Lepisosteus oculatus: one gene and its partner. The protein of the gene in region 2 purifies or fractionates together with the protein of the main gene of each other region. This does not show direct contact. Links are inferred from orthologs where the notes say so. Each region holds a gene or a part of one and is shown on either strand. Other genes may lie near its edges.

The links.
Region 1: the proteins of daxx (region 2) and crebbpa purify together in Homo sapiens (affinity purification with western blotting; 3 studies listed by BioGRID and IntAct, with this or other methods). This does not show direct contact. The link is inferred for Lepisosteus oculatus from reciprocal best matches to the Homo sapiens genes DAXX and CREBBP.

What each region holds. Positions count from the first base shown.
Region 1 is NC_090714.1:3,324,973-3,331,827, forward strand, and holds the start of crebbpa (CREB-binding protein), read right to left. Parts: upstream 3,011-6,855; 5' UTR 2,176-3,010; coding exon 2,088-2,175; intron 1-2,087. UniProt on the Homo sapiens protein: Acetylates histones, giving a specific tag for transcriptional activation. Mediates acetylation of histone H3 at 'Lys-18' and 'Lys-27' (H3K18ac and H3K27ac, respectively).
Region 2 is NC_090709.1:38,547,104-38,554,714, reverse strand, and holds the start of daxx (death domain-associated protein 6), read left to right. Parts: upstream 1-4,597; 5' UTR 4,598-4,683; intron 4,684-4,794; exon of another isoform or gene 4,795-4,840; intron 4,841-5,114; exon of another isoform or gene 5,115-5,119; intron 5,120-5,972; 5' UTR 5,973-5,999; coding exon 6,000-6,194; intron 6,195-6,894; coding exon 6,895-7,254; intron 7,255-7,611. UniProt on the Homo sapiens protein: Transcription corepressor known to repress transcriptional potential of several sumoylated transcription factors. Down-regulates basal and activated transcription.

The sequences.
Region 1 (6,855 bases), on a different chromosome or scaffold from region 2:
CACCTTGGTGGAACAGTAAAACGGAGGGTAGGGATATTTCTGTTATTCTAAAGTTGAAAAGGGTCCAGATACAGTGAAAGTGTATTTTAAATAGACCAATACACGTTTTAACAACGCACTTGCTGGCACAAGGTAATGTTTAAAACCCAGAAAAGCCTCTCTTTGCTGGATAGAAAACACAATTAACGCAAATGGGAACTTAGTTCACTCTTCTGGCATGACCGCTCAATGAATATAACTGAATCAGACCTTAAGCCGTGGAAAAACGTGCAAGTGTCGCTCTCCTAAACCCAGACTGACAGCAGGCGCTGGGCTTTAAATCCGTCAAATGCCCCCTTAATTAGGTAGACAATGGACGGCTATAGTCCAAGCACAAGCTGTTAAAGTTCACTTTTAATGATTCCGATCCGACCAATCACAGCAGCTTTCAAATTACAGCGCTCTCCTGCCTCCACGCCCACGTCAGCTTACGCGCAATCGAGATGCCAGCACCGTACCGGCGTGACTTTCCCCGGCACTGTTGCCCGTCGTGACCGGTTGGGATGGCGCACCGGTTGTCCGACAGCACAGCGAGGGTCTGCACACTTGTGGAAAGCTAACATACGAGAGTTTCCACCCTCCCAGGCCGAGAGATCTCCCTCCACACAGCCTGCAGGGGCACGCCAGGAGCGCCAGCGGAGCTCCTGTCTCCGGCCAAGAGCGCACGGCGTCACGCCCCCCTCGGCTTACAGGACACAGACCAAACCGTTTCGTTTTCAGAAAGCAGAACTGAGGGGATCCCCGAATTAAACAGTGTTTTGGCGATCAGATCGGGAGGAGGGGTGGAGGGACGGGCAGGGTGGAGGATCCACAAACCACACGCGGGACAGACTCCGACGACCGACCAACCAACCGGGTGCGACCCAGCCCGGAGTCCCGTCCACCACCACCGTTTCTCAAACCAGCCGTGTCAATCAGATCGATCAGTGGCTCAGCCGCTGACTGACAGGCGCAAGCCCTCCCCTCCAGCGCTACACCCGATGCACGCTTCTCCCTGCCGGTGTCATAGCCGCTTCGCCTTGCAATGAAACACCGCCTCCCGGGCAACAAACTCCGGCTCCGGCCAGGACCCGGGACCCAGCGCCAGGGGGCCCGGCCGCCGCTTCGGCACCGGGGCAGGGGGGTGGATCGTTTCGGATACCGAGAGGGGGAAGAGCAATACAAGACGTCGCTCTTGTCATGCTCTTGCATGTCCATCCTCGGCTTGTGAAGCGCAGGCTGCTGGCGCTGCCCAGGTGGTCCGCTGTCAACGGCACGGCTGCACCCAGGTCTCCTACGAAAGGCCACGATCTTGCCCAACATGAAAGGACAGGGAGCTGTCCAGCGAGTCCCCGCGGTCACTTCAATATTTTTTGTAGGGGGGTGGGGGGGAGTATGAATTTTGACGCACGGCACCACATCTCGCTGCCGTGCAGAGTCGACAACAAACGCCACCACCACGGGGACTTTTCTCGATCAAAACCTGGCTACGACCACCACATTCAACCGCACAACAAACAAACAAAAAACGCATCTGACATCGGCACCTCAAATCGCGACGTCAAAGAGTCTGTTTTGCAGCCGACCACCAACCGACACGAAGCGGGGCATCAGAGGGTCGGTAGAGGAGACGGTGTAGGTGGTGGTGGTGGTGGTGGGGGGGGGCATGCTCATTTTTTGGCATAGGGGAAAAAAATCTCATAACGCCGAAAGGCACACCGCCACCACCCACCAAACACTGTCCCCTGCAGCCGGGCCATGCACACGGCGGAGACCCAGCACACGGGCAAAACGCACACCTTCCCCGTTTCCACGCCTCTGCCGCCCAGCCTTGGCACCACAAGAGCGGGGAGCCGATTGCGCGCAGCGCCCAGCAAGAGGCACAGCCGGGGTGCTCCCGATCGAGCCCCAGTTCAGAAGAGACACCAGCACCACCACCCAAAGGCGATACGCACACGCACACACTCCAGAAGGAAAGTATTGCGATGCAAAGGTGCGCACGGAGCCGTGTCGCACACGCCGGCGGTGACACTGTCACGCCGGGGAGCCGGGGGGCAGTCGGGCCTTACCTGGACCGTCGGAGGCGGACAGGGCAGGTGAATTCAGCTTCGGCCGCTTCGGGTTGGGAGGTCCGACGTCAAGCAGGTTCTCGGCCATGGCGATCGACTCGGATCGTTAGATGTGATTGGGTTATTTTTTTTTCTAAATAGGGGGGGGGGAGGGATCGGTGGCCCCCCAAAAAATAATAATAATAATCCCCACCCCCCGAGAAAAAAATCAAAACCAAAAAGAGAGCAACCCCTCCACGCTCGCCTCCTCTCTACTCTCCGTTTGCAGGAGCGAAATAATCAAGGCGAAATTCTCAAAAAAGTAGCTACAGCGCCCCGCTTCGCCAAAACCATTCACCCCATGATAATCCAACACCCAACACCCACATTATTATCAATAATAATTACCTCCGATGAAAAATATTTTTTTCGAAGGAACAAAGGGCACAAAAAATTAAATACGATCTCCCCGATGGATTTTTTGGTCGTTTTCGTGCCTGCGGAGTGCGCTAAATTCGCATCTTTAAATACCCCCTTTTTTCTGACGTCAATTTAATTGCCTAAAAACCCCCTTCTGCCGGCGAAAAAAATGCGCCGGTGCAAAAAAAAAATATTTCACGGCGCTATTTCGCCCCTTCCCCGCTGTCTGTCCGCCGGCTGCTCCCGGTAAACAATACGGCTGCGAACCAAGATACGGAGCGAAGCGGCGCTTTCTGAAGGGGAAATCAGATATATGGGGGGTTTTCTGGCCGATGAAAACCGACCCAATCTCCGTTTTTTCTCACGAAATGTCTTCGAAGGCGTCTAAGCTTTTCGTTTTCGGCAGAAGAAACCCGTTTGGCCTCGGTTCGGATGTTCCGGTTCTCAATAAAAAATAATGCTCTCCCGAAATCCTGACTCCGAGCCGCGACAAGATGGCGGCTGTTGATTCCTTCGATACAAAAAGTTTTTTTTCCAGATAGACCGCGAGGGGGAGGGGCCGCGCAATCACGCCCTACGCACGGCTCTGCCGTGCGTCACACGGAAACTGACGAAGATGCCTCTAGGGGCGGAAATACCCGAATGTCTCGAATTGAAAAGGGTTGTTTAGACGGGTGTTACGGACGTGTAGCGTGTGTGAAACGCTTCGAAAGGGGGTGTTCTCATTGAATTGTTTCTAGGAATGCGTTGTACAGACTCTGATCAAGCGGCCAAAGTATGTGATCTGAGCATTTCCAGTAAATGCTCAGATCACTCTGTTAATTTTCTGCACATTGATGGTGGTGGAGGGGAGTCCCCATTACCTGTAAAGCGCTTTGAGTGGAGTGTCCAGAAAAGCGCTATATAAGTGTAAGCAATTATTATTATATGTCCAAAAAAATTTATTTTCCCATGCTAATCCAAATGGTCTCTAGCAAACCGACAAAAATAAACTCACTTTTCAATAACCTTGTCGGATGATACACGCAACGTCTTTATAGTCATATTTGTGAAAAGTCTACCAATGTGCGTATTACGCTGTAAAGATGATACATTCGCGTAGCACATCGTATCGTTTAATTATAGTTGTGTTTTTCCCCCACAAAAAAAATAGCAAATGCTCCCAAACAGAAAACGGCTCGCCGTTGCAACAGTTTGTGCCTATTTTAATCTTTGAAGGTGCAGGCTATTGCAAATACTGTAAAAACACTGTATCCCTACGCAAAGACAAGTTAAATTGGTTTAATTAAGACTGCTTTTCAGCTGCATCAGCACAACAGCAACACCTGAAATTGATCAACCACTACACGGCTGGAGTCTGATATCTTGGAGGTCATTCCCCATGTCCATGATACTGCAACAAACCGATTTTACTACTCAACATTGCATCAGTTGCATAAATCTCATTAATACATCAGATAGCAAAAACCGTTGAGTATGTTGTTGTGTATGTTAGTCAGTTGTGGCTGTCATTATTATTTTTTTGTAATGGACTGTGCAGATTGTGGGGTTTTGTCTATTGTACTGTGCATGTCACAGGAGAACTGTGAGAATTTACATGTGCATCTCGCAAATAAACTCTTCTCTCTCAATGTATAGGAGGGGACCCATTTTGTCCACCACTGGAGAGCAGACTCACCTGAGAGATCAGCACTAGCAGAATAGGTGACGCAGTGAGAAAATTCTCCTCCTGCTGGGCTGAGGAGAAAGTTTAAGGAGACACCACAAATAACACCAGTACTAAAGTAACGCCACAGTCCAGTCTGCAAGACCCATTTCTAATAGTTCAGGATAGTGTAGTCTAAATTTAGTAGAACACTTCACACTTCCAAGTCCAGGAACTTTGCCATCTCCACAATTCACTACGATACTGAGAAAAGCATAGCAGAAAAGTGAGAAACCTACCTGATACAACATCAAATGCAGCAAAAGCAGCATCACTAACAAATGGTTTGGGGGGATTGTAGATTTCTGAATGGAAAATTAAGATCAGATATAAGGGTGGCATGGTGGCACAGTCATGAGCACCACTGCCTTGCAGCCCTGGGTTCATTTCCTGGGGTACTGTCTGTGTGGAGTTTGCATGTTCCCCCCTGTGATAGCATGGGTTTCCTCTGGGTGCTCCGGTGTCTTCCCACAGTCCAAAGACATACTGGCAGGGTAACTGGCTTCTGGGAAAATTGTCCCTGGTGTGAGCGTGCGTGCCGTGAGATGGACTGGTGTCCTGTCCAGGGTGTATCCTGGCTTGTGCCTGCTGCTTGCAGAATAGGCTCCATCACCCCCACAACCCTGAATTGGAGAAGCAGTTATTAAAAGTGATAAGATATATGATATACAATACACTTGTATATAACGTCTATGACTTACTTGCGTCGAATAAGATGCACAAATGTGGTCACCAGGTTCCCAAAAAAAAACACTCCTGCTCTGGATTCCGTTCAAAGAAGAGTCACAAGGTTAATTCTGACGCTGAGCACGGTCTCATAAGACAAGGAGCTAAATCTCTTCAGGGTTGAACAACGGAGGCTTTGCGTGAGTTTAAAATGGTGAGCAACATGGAAACAGCACACAAGTTGGCACGCAGGTGCCAGAGTTACAAGAGAAAATGGAAAACATTCTGCATCTGGGTCAAAGTCGGGCAGCATCTCTGTAACGAAAGGAGCGTGGGTGTCTGCAGTCCAACGGGACAAATTTTCAAAAGATTCCCCGGGATCTTTTAAGAAAACCCTGGAAGAGATCTCCAAGCCTCCCGCTTCCCAGTAACTCAAGAAGCAAAATGAGCTGTATCCTCAGACTTCCGTTTGTAGCAGCATTTGTTCTGGAGGACAAATGTTTCTGGAGAGGTTAATTGGTTTTAATCCCAACAGATCTCGAAATTACCCCCCCCACCAATAAACTGAGGGAAAGAATCATTTCTGGATAACTTCTAACCTGTTGCTCTGGAGTCCTCCAGGTCCAGGACTGGTCACTCCTGAACTAGACACCCTGGTCCTGGACATCACAGCGCAGTTCTGAGTCTGAATGACCGAGGTGGGGCACCTGTGCACAGGTAAGCGGTACTCACTGACTGAAAGCTCCACCTAGGACTTGGGCTCTTCAAAGGAGTCAGTGCCCTTCATCTCACTCCAGGACAGTCTGCAGACTTGTTACAGATACCCGTTTAATTGCCAATTTATTTGGCTGACACGTTGATTCAAAACGACTTATGTTTGCACTCATTTAAGCAGCAGAGTAGTTCACCGGAGCAATTCCAGTACTTTGTTCGAGGGTACAACAGAAGTATCACGCCTGGGATTTGAACACCACAACCCTCTATTTATGAATCTAGATACTCACAGGTAATACAGGACAGGATGTTAGCAAATGTTCTAGATAGAAGAAGGAAATCACTTTGCACTACTGTGCACTGGAAAACCCCCTCCGAGACTGGTATGCCACTGGATAAGATTCTGGGAGCAATTATCTACCACCAACAAAACAAAAACATTAATCAAATGGCCTTCTTTCCTTTGTAACTCTTACCTCGTTGATGACTTAATTGTGTGACTTGATGGCTTAATTGTTGTCAACAATTAATGGTGAACCGTCTGTAGATAGTGTGGATTTAAGGTTCTCTTTAGAACTTGTAAATCCGGACGCCTTACATTTCCCCCGTATTTATTCTTTTTGACGGATAAACTCTGACCGAAAGACACGGCTAACCTGCTTTTGTAGGTATCAGAGATCCGGCTCGATTTAGACACAAGTATCGCTGAATTTAATGCGATGACGGCAGTTTTCTCTGCTACATTTTAAGAGCGCAAGCGAAACAACGACAGGATATTTGCATCCCTCAAGTCAGCAGTGGTCCGTGAAGAGAATGTTTACAGTGTAAGAGCAACAGATACCAAACTAATAGAAAAGCAAGATACAGAAGGTGAACGTCGTAACTAAACTTCATCCTAGTAAGCAGGACACAGGCTATATAGGCTTTACAGTTTCCTAACATGGCACGTATTATGCAGGCTTATGTCAAAAACCGTTTCATAGTCGTAAACTGGTAATAATGCTTTTTTTGCTATGCTACGGACAGCGTTTTCACTTACCTTGCTAAGCCTTAGCTTAGGCGACTTTCAGTTATTTAAAACAATGTCCACAACTCGGAGCTTTAACACCGAACAATGGAGAAGCATTGCGATATTAAATGTTTCTCGACACATTCTGAAGAAGACAGCTGGAGTACCAATGATGGAAGGAATTTGTAACTGCGCTTTCAAACAAGATGTACTAAAACCACCCAGTCTTCCAGCCAACAGGAACGTGTGTGCTTTGTGATCAGTTGCACTAAAAT
Region 2 (7,611 bases):
AGTGTGCCCCTGAACATCGCAGGTACTGATTAACACCCTCCTTAACGAGCCAGCGTTACCCTGAACATCGCAGGTACTGATTAACACCCTCCTTAACGAGCCAGCATGACCCTGAACATCGCAGGTACTGATTAACACCCTCCTTAACGAGCCAGTGTGCCCCTGAACATCGCAGGTACCGATTAACACCCTCCTTAACGAGCCAGCATGACCCTGAACATCGCAGGTACCGATTAACACCCTCCTTAACGAGCCAGTGTGACCCTGAACATCGCAGGTACTGATTAACACCCTCCTTAACGAGCCAGTGTGACCCTGAACATCGCAGGTACCGATTAACACCCTCCTTAACGAGCCAGTGTGACCCTGAGCATCGCAGGTACCGATTAACACCCTCCTTAACGAGCCAGTGTGCCCCTGAGCATCGCAGGTACCGATTAACACCCTCCTTAACGAGCCAGTGTGCCCCTGAGCATCGCAGGTACTGATTAACACCCTCCTTAACGAGCCAGTGTGACCCTGAGCATCGCAGGTACCGATTAATACCCTCCTTAATGAGCCAGTGTGCCCCTGAACATCGCAGGTACCGATTAACACCCTCCTTAACGAGCCAGCATGACCCTGAACATCGCAGGTACCGATTAACACCCTCCTTAACGAGCCAGTGTGCCCCTGAACATCGCAGGTACCGATTAATACCCTCCTTAATGAGCCAGTGTGCCCCTGAACATCGCAGGTACCGATTAACACCCTCCTTAACGAGCCAGCATGACCCTGAACATCGCAGGTACCGATTAACACCCTTCTTAACGAGCCAGCATGACCCTGAACATCGCAGGTACCGATTAACACCCTCCTTAATGAGCCAGTGCGACCCTGAATGTCCTTGTTCCTGCTGTGGTTAACTGCCCACTCTGTGAGCGAGTCACACTCTCACAGCGCCCCCTGCCTGTCGGTGTGAGTCAGTGAGTGAGTGTTGGGGTGCGAGAGGCCCTCACGGCGCCCCCTGCCTGTCGGTGTGAATCAGTGAGTCAGTGTTGGGGTGCGAGAGGCCCTCACAGCGCCCCCTGCCTGTCGGTGTGAGTCAGTGAGTGAGTGTTGGGGTGCGAGAGGCCCTCACGGCGCCCCCTGCCTGTCGGTGTGAATCAGTGAGTCAGTGTTGGGGTGCGAGAGGCCCTCACAGCGCCCCCTGCCTGTCAGTGTGAGTCAGTGAGTCAGTGAGTGAGTGTTGGGGTGCGAGAGGCCCTCACAGCGCCCCCTGCCTGTCTCCGCAGGTGTCGGCGGCCCCACAGTGGAGGACTCCATGGCCATGGTGGCTGTGGCCCTGCTGCTGTACGGCCTCATCAAGATCGTCAGCTGGACCCTGAAGACCACAGGTCTTTATCGGCTCGTTATCCATCGCCTTGTCATTCCCAGTGTGTGTGACCTCATTCACACTGTCCCAGTGTGTGTGTGTGACCTCATTCACACTGTCCCAGTGTGTGTGACTTCATTCACACTGTCCCAGTATGAGTGTGTGTGACCTCATTCACACTGCCCCAGTGTGTGTGTGTGACCTCATTCACACTGTCCCAGTGTGTGTTTGTGACATCATTCACACTGTCCCAGTGTGAGTGTGTGACCTCATTCACACTGTCCCAGTATGAGTGTGTGTGACCTCATTAACACTGTCCCAGTGTGTGTGTGTGACCTCATTCACACTGTCCCAGTATGAGTGTGTGTGAACTCATTCACACTGTCCCAGTGTGTGTGTGACCTCATTCACACTGTCCCAGTATGAGTGTGTGTGACCTCATTCACACTGTCCCAGTGTGTGTGACCTCATTAACACTGTCCCAGTGTGTGTGACCTCATTAACACTGTCCCAGTGTGTGTGTGTGACCTCATTCACACTGCCCCAGTGTGTGTGTGGGTGACCTCATTAACACTTTCCCAGTATGAGTGTGTGTGACATCATTAACACTGTCCCAGTGCGTGTGACCTCATTCACACTGTCCCAGTGTGTGTGACATCATTCACACTGTCCCAGTATGAGTGTGTGTGACCTCATTAACACTGTCCCAGTGTGTGTGACCTCATTCACACTGTCCCAGTATGAGTGTGTGTGACATCATTAATACTGTCCCAGTGTGTGTGTGATGTCAGAGGTGTCTGGGCAGCGGTGAGCCTCAGGGCAGCCCTGTGTCTCTGCTGGTGCTGACTGTGTGTCTGTCTGTCTGTCCACAGACTCCAGTGTCCCAGAGGAGCCGGAGAAGGTAAGACTGACTCTCACACGCTCGCTCACTCCCTCTCTCACTCTCCTCTCACCCCTCTGTCTCACCCCTCTCTCTCACTCCCTCTCTCCTCTCACCCCTCTGTCTCACCCCTCTTTCTCACTCCCTCTCTCCTCCCACCTCTCTGTCTCACCCCTCTCTCTCACTCTCCTCTCACCTCTCTGTCCCACCCCCTCTCTCACCCTCTCACTCCTGTCCAGCCTCAGTGTCTCCTCACCTCTGTCTCACTCTCTCTCAGAAGCAGGAGTGATCGCAGGCGGACAGACTCCTCTCTCCAGGTGAGTGAGTCACACACACACTCACACTGCCTTAAAACACACACTCACACTGCCTTACAACACACACACTCCTCACACACACACTCACACTGCCTTAAAACACACACAGTCCTCACACACACACTCACACTGCTTTAAAACACACACACTCCTCACACACACACTCACACTGCCTTACAACACACACACTCCTCACACAAACACTCACACTGCCTTAAAACACACACTCCTCACACTGCCTTAAAACACACACTCCTCACACATACACACTGCTTTAAAACACACACACTCCTCACACATACACACTGCTTTAAAACACACACACTCCTCACACATACACTCACACTGCTTTAAAACACACACACTCCTCACACTGCCTTAAAACACACACACTCCTCACACATACACACTGCTTTAAAACACACACACTCCTCACACACACACTCACACTGCTTTAAAACACACACACTCCTCACACTGCCTTAAAACACACACACTCCTCACACATACACACTGCTTTAAAACACACACACTCCTCACACACACACTGCCTTAAAACACACACACTCCTCGCACACCTCCTGATCACACGAGCAGAGCCGTCGTCACCATCGTCATCGTCACCCCACGGCTGGCCCGGTGTCCTCTCACCTGCCCCGCCTCTCTCGGTCTCTCTCCTCCCAGACCTTCCAGAGGAGAACGCCAGGCTGGTCTCACTCTCCGGGGAGAGTGTGTCTCACACTGACTGGAGTGCGTCTACAGAGTGTGAGAGAGTGAGAGAGTGTCTACAGAGTGTGAGAGAGTGAGAGTGTATAGTGTGAGAGAGTGTCTACAGAGTGTGAGAGAGTGAGAGTGTATAGTGTGAGAGAGTGTCTACATTGTGTGAGAGAGTGAGAGTGTATAGTGTGAGAGAGTGAGAGAGTGTACAGTGTGTGTGAGAGTGTATAGTGTGAGAGAGTGAGAGAGTGTACAGTGTGTGTGAGAGAGTGAATCGTTTTGTTTCAGTATGACAGTATATGCAGAACGGACTGTTCCATTTCTTGTGTGCGCGGGGGGGAGCTGTACTGTGACAGCAGGCAGGGATGTTCCTGAAAACAATCGCTGTATCTCTCCAGCCTCTCAACATGCGCTCTAGACAGTCAAGGCAAGAGCACAGTTTCACGCTGAGAAACGCCCCTCACCCATACCGCTCCGGTGTTGCACTAGACTGTGAACATCCCTCCTGCTCTGGCGGTCGTGGGCAGGTCCGCCAGCGCGCCTCAGCTCAGCTCAGCTCAGCTCAGCTCAGCTCCGGCCTGCGTCGGTGGTGATCTCCGGCCTGCAGCTGTCGCCTCCGATCGAGACCGTGCGTCACCAGGGGGGGACTGTTTTCGAGGGGAACTGTAGTTCCCGGCAGCCGGTTGTCGGGGGGACAGGGCTGAGGTGACGCGCGCGCTCTCTCTCTCTCTCATCAGAGGTCCAGTGTAATTAACCCTTCCTGCTGTGTCCTTGGCTTCGCAATGTCACGGGATTTTGGTTTTGCTTGCCGAGCGAGTGGTCTAATAAAGGTTTTATTCTTTGATCCGAGTCCCGCGCCCTCTGTCTGTGCAGTTTGGAGTCCCCTTCACAGTGGCTGTTGCTGCTGTACTGGCGCCAGCCGAGCCCAGGTCAATTACACGGGCCTGAGGGACCGACAGGCGTCAAGCGGCCTGCCTGGTTTGGGCCGCCGGGCTCGATTCTGGAACGGGAGACCTTCCCTGTGGAGTCTGCGCGTTCCCCTCGGAGGGTCCCTGACTCACTGGACACGCTGAGTGGGTAAACCTGGTGTCTCCGAACTCGTGCCTGGAATTCAGGAAGATTGAAAAACGGGAACAGATTTAAAAATAAAAAAAATAATTTTAAGATCCACCACGGACCTGAAATCAGACAACTCCTTAAGCTGTACGGCAAAGGGAGCCGCCATGTCCGGTTACGGCACGACGTGACCTCTGACCCGTTCCGGCGACGTTGCTCCTGCGCCGTCATCCTTTGTGCCTCCAGCCTCCGCCTCCCCCCCTCCTGCCCACCAATCAGCGGCGGCGTTACTGCGGCGCGGCCAATGGCATCGCGCCGTGCTGCGGGGCGGCGGAGTTCAGAGGCCGGAGACGAAGCGGGTAAGTAGTTTTCCTGGGAGTCCGGGTGGCTCTGTTTTTATTTTTTATTCTTTATTCTGCCGCGCCCCCCGCCTCCTGCCCCCCCTCCCCCCCCGGGTCTCGCCGCGGCTCGGTTCGGAGAGGAGACGGGAGACGGCGCAGGGGGCGGCCGCTCTGGGTCTCTGCTTTTATAAAATAATAAAACTGAAACTGAGACCCGTGAGCGAGCGAGCGAGCGAGAGAGAGGTGTGTTGGGGAAGCGAAGCTCGGGCGTCGGTCTGGTGACCCCGGGTGGGACAGTCCCAGCCCGGTTCTGGCCCGGGGGTCCCCGCCAGGCGCCGATCCATCCCCCGGTCCCGGCCCGGTCCTGCCCGCTCGCCTGTCTCGGGAGTAGCTGGGCCCTCTGCCGGTCCCGGTTCTGCTCCACTGCGCTCCAGGCTGGGGGAGGGTGGTGGGTGCGGATGACAGGCGGAACCGGGCCGCTGCCGGAACAGGACTGAGTCCTGGGGTGTCTCTGGGGTCCCCTGTGTGTGATCTCCCTGTTGGGGGTACACTGTCAGGACCGGACTGCTGCTCCTGGTCCAGGAGAGAGGAGGGCAGATCGGAGGGTGTGATTCTGGGGTGTCTCTGGGGTCCCCTGTGTGTGTTCTCAGTGTCGGGGGGAGAGAGGGGGGTGTGATTCTGGGGTATCTCTGGGGTCCCCTGTGTGTGTTCTCAGTGTCGGGGGGAGACAGGAGGGTGTGATTCTGGGGTCCTCTGTGTGTATTCTCAGTGTCGGGGGGAAAGAGGAGGGTGTGATTCTGGGGTGTCTCTGGGGTCCCCTGTGTGTGTTCTCAGTATCGGGCGGGGAAGAGAGGAGGGTGTGATTCTGGGGTGTCTCTGGGGTCCCCTGTGTGTGTTCTCAGTATCGGGGTGGGGAAGAGAGTAGGGTGTGATTCTGGGGTGTTTCTGGGGTCCCCTGTGAGTGTTTTCAGTGTCAGGGGGGAAGAGAGGAGGGTGTGATTCTGGGGTGTCTCTGGGGTCCCCTGTGTGTGTTCTCAGTGTCAGAGGGGAGACAGGAGGGTGTGATTCTGGGGTGTCTCTGGGGTCCCCTGTGTGTGTTCTCAGTGTTGGGGGGTGAGAGGAGGGTGTGATTCTGGGGTGTCTCTGGGGTCCCCTGTGTGTGTTCTCAGTGTTGGGGAGCGGGGGGCTCAGTTAGTGCCCCCAGTCCGGCGCCGGGCTGTACCAGGAGGGCCGGTTCTGATCTCAGCAGTTACTCAGCTCTCCCAGGCGGGGCTCTGACCCGGGACCTGTCTCCTCCCTCTCTCCAGCCCCCGTCCGGACCGGTCCAGATCGCCATGGCGACGGTGGACAGCATCGTGATCCTGGATGACGACGAGGAGGAAGAGGAGGAAGAGCAGGAGCGGCCTCAGCACCCCGCCCCCTCGCCGCCCCTCGAACCCGGGCCCTCCCACATCACGCACTCGCCCTTCGACGCCCGAGAGAGAGGCAGCAACACCACACGGCTGGAGAACAACCAGCTTTTCTCTGAGGTCAGAGACTGTCCACCTCCCCTCCCTCTCTCAGTGCAGAGTGTCCAGTCAGTGTGTCTGTATGAACCCCTCTCTCAGTGCAGTGTTCATGTACTGGAGTGTCCAGTCAGTGTGTCTGTATGAACCCCTCTCTCTCTCAGTGCAGTGTTCATGTACTGGAGTGTCCAGTCAGTGTGTGTGTATGAACCCCTCTCTCTCAGTGCAGTGTTCATGTACTGGAGTGTCCAGTCAGTGTGTGTGTGTGTGAACCCCTCTCTCTCTCAGTGCAGTGTTCATGTACTGGAGTGTCCAGTCAGTGTGTGTGTATGAACCCCTCTCTCTCTCAGTGCAGTGTTCATGTACTGGAGTGTCCAGTCAGTGTGTCTGTGTGAACCCCTCTCTCTCTCAGTGCAGTGTTCATGTACTGGAGTGTCCAGTCAGTGTGTGTGTATGAACCCCTCTCTCTCTCAGTGCAGTGTTCATGTACTGGAGTGTCCAGTCAGTGTGTGTGTGTGAACCCCTCTCTCTCTCAGTGCAGTGTTAATGTACTGGAGTGTCCAGTCAGTGTGTGTGTGAACCCCTCTCTCTCTCAGTGCAGTGTTCATGTACTGGAGTGTCCAGTCAGTGTGTCTGTATGAACCCCTCTCTCTCTCAGTGCAGTGTTCATGTACTGGAGTGTCCAGTCAGTGTGTCTGTATGAACCCCTCTCTCTCTCTCTCAGTTTGTAGAGTACTGCTCCAGTCTGACCCGAGACAACCCGGAAGTGATCCCCTACCTGTTGTCCAAGCACTCCAAGGCCAGCCCGGACTTCCTGGGCTCGGTCGAGTTCCGGAACCGGCTGGGCCGCTGCCTGACCCGGGTCCAGAGCAAGCGGGCCAAGACCTACGTGTACATCAACGAGCTGTGCACCGTCCTGAAGCAGCACAGCGCCTCCCGCAGGCGCCCGGCCCTGCTGCGGCCCGCGCAGACGCCCGCGCAGACGCCCGCCGCGCCGGGCGCCGAGGAGCGCGCAGAGGGAGCGCCGCTGGAGCAGCAGGAGCCCCCTGGGCAGCCGGCTCGGCCCAGGGCTTCCAGGAGACAGGTGAGCGCAGAGAGAGGGAGACAGGTGAGCTCAGAGAGGGGGAGACAGGTGAGCTCTGAGAGAGAGACAGGTGAGCGCAGGGAGAGAGGGAGACAGGTGAGCGCCCTAACCCCTAACCCTAGAGGGGGAGACAGGTGAGCGCAGGGAGAGAGAGAGACAGGTGAGCGCCGAGAGAGGGAGACAGGTGAGCGCAGAGAGGGGGAGACAGGTGAGCTCTGAGAGAGAGACAGGTGAGCGCAGGGAGAGAGGGGGACAGGTGAGCGCAGGGAGAGAGGGAGACAGTTGAGCGCAGAGAGGGGAGAGGGAGACAGGTGAGCTCCGAGAGAGAGAGAGAGGGGAGAGGGAGTCAGGTGAGCC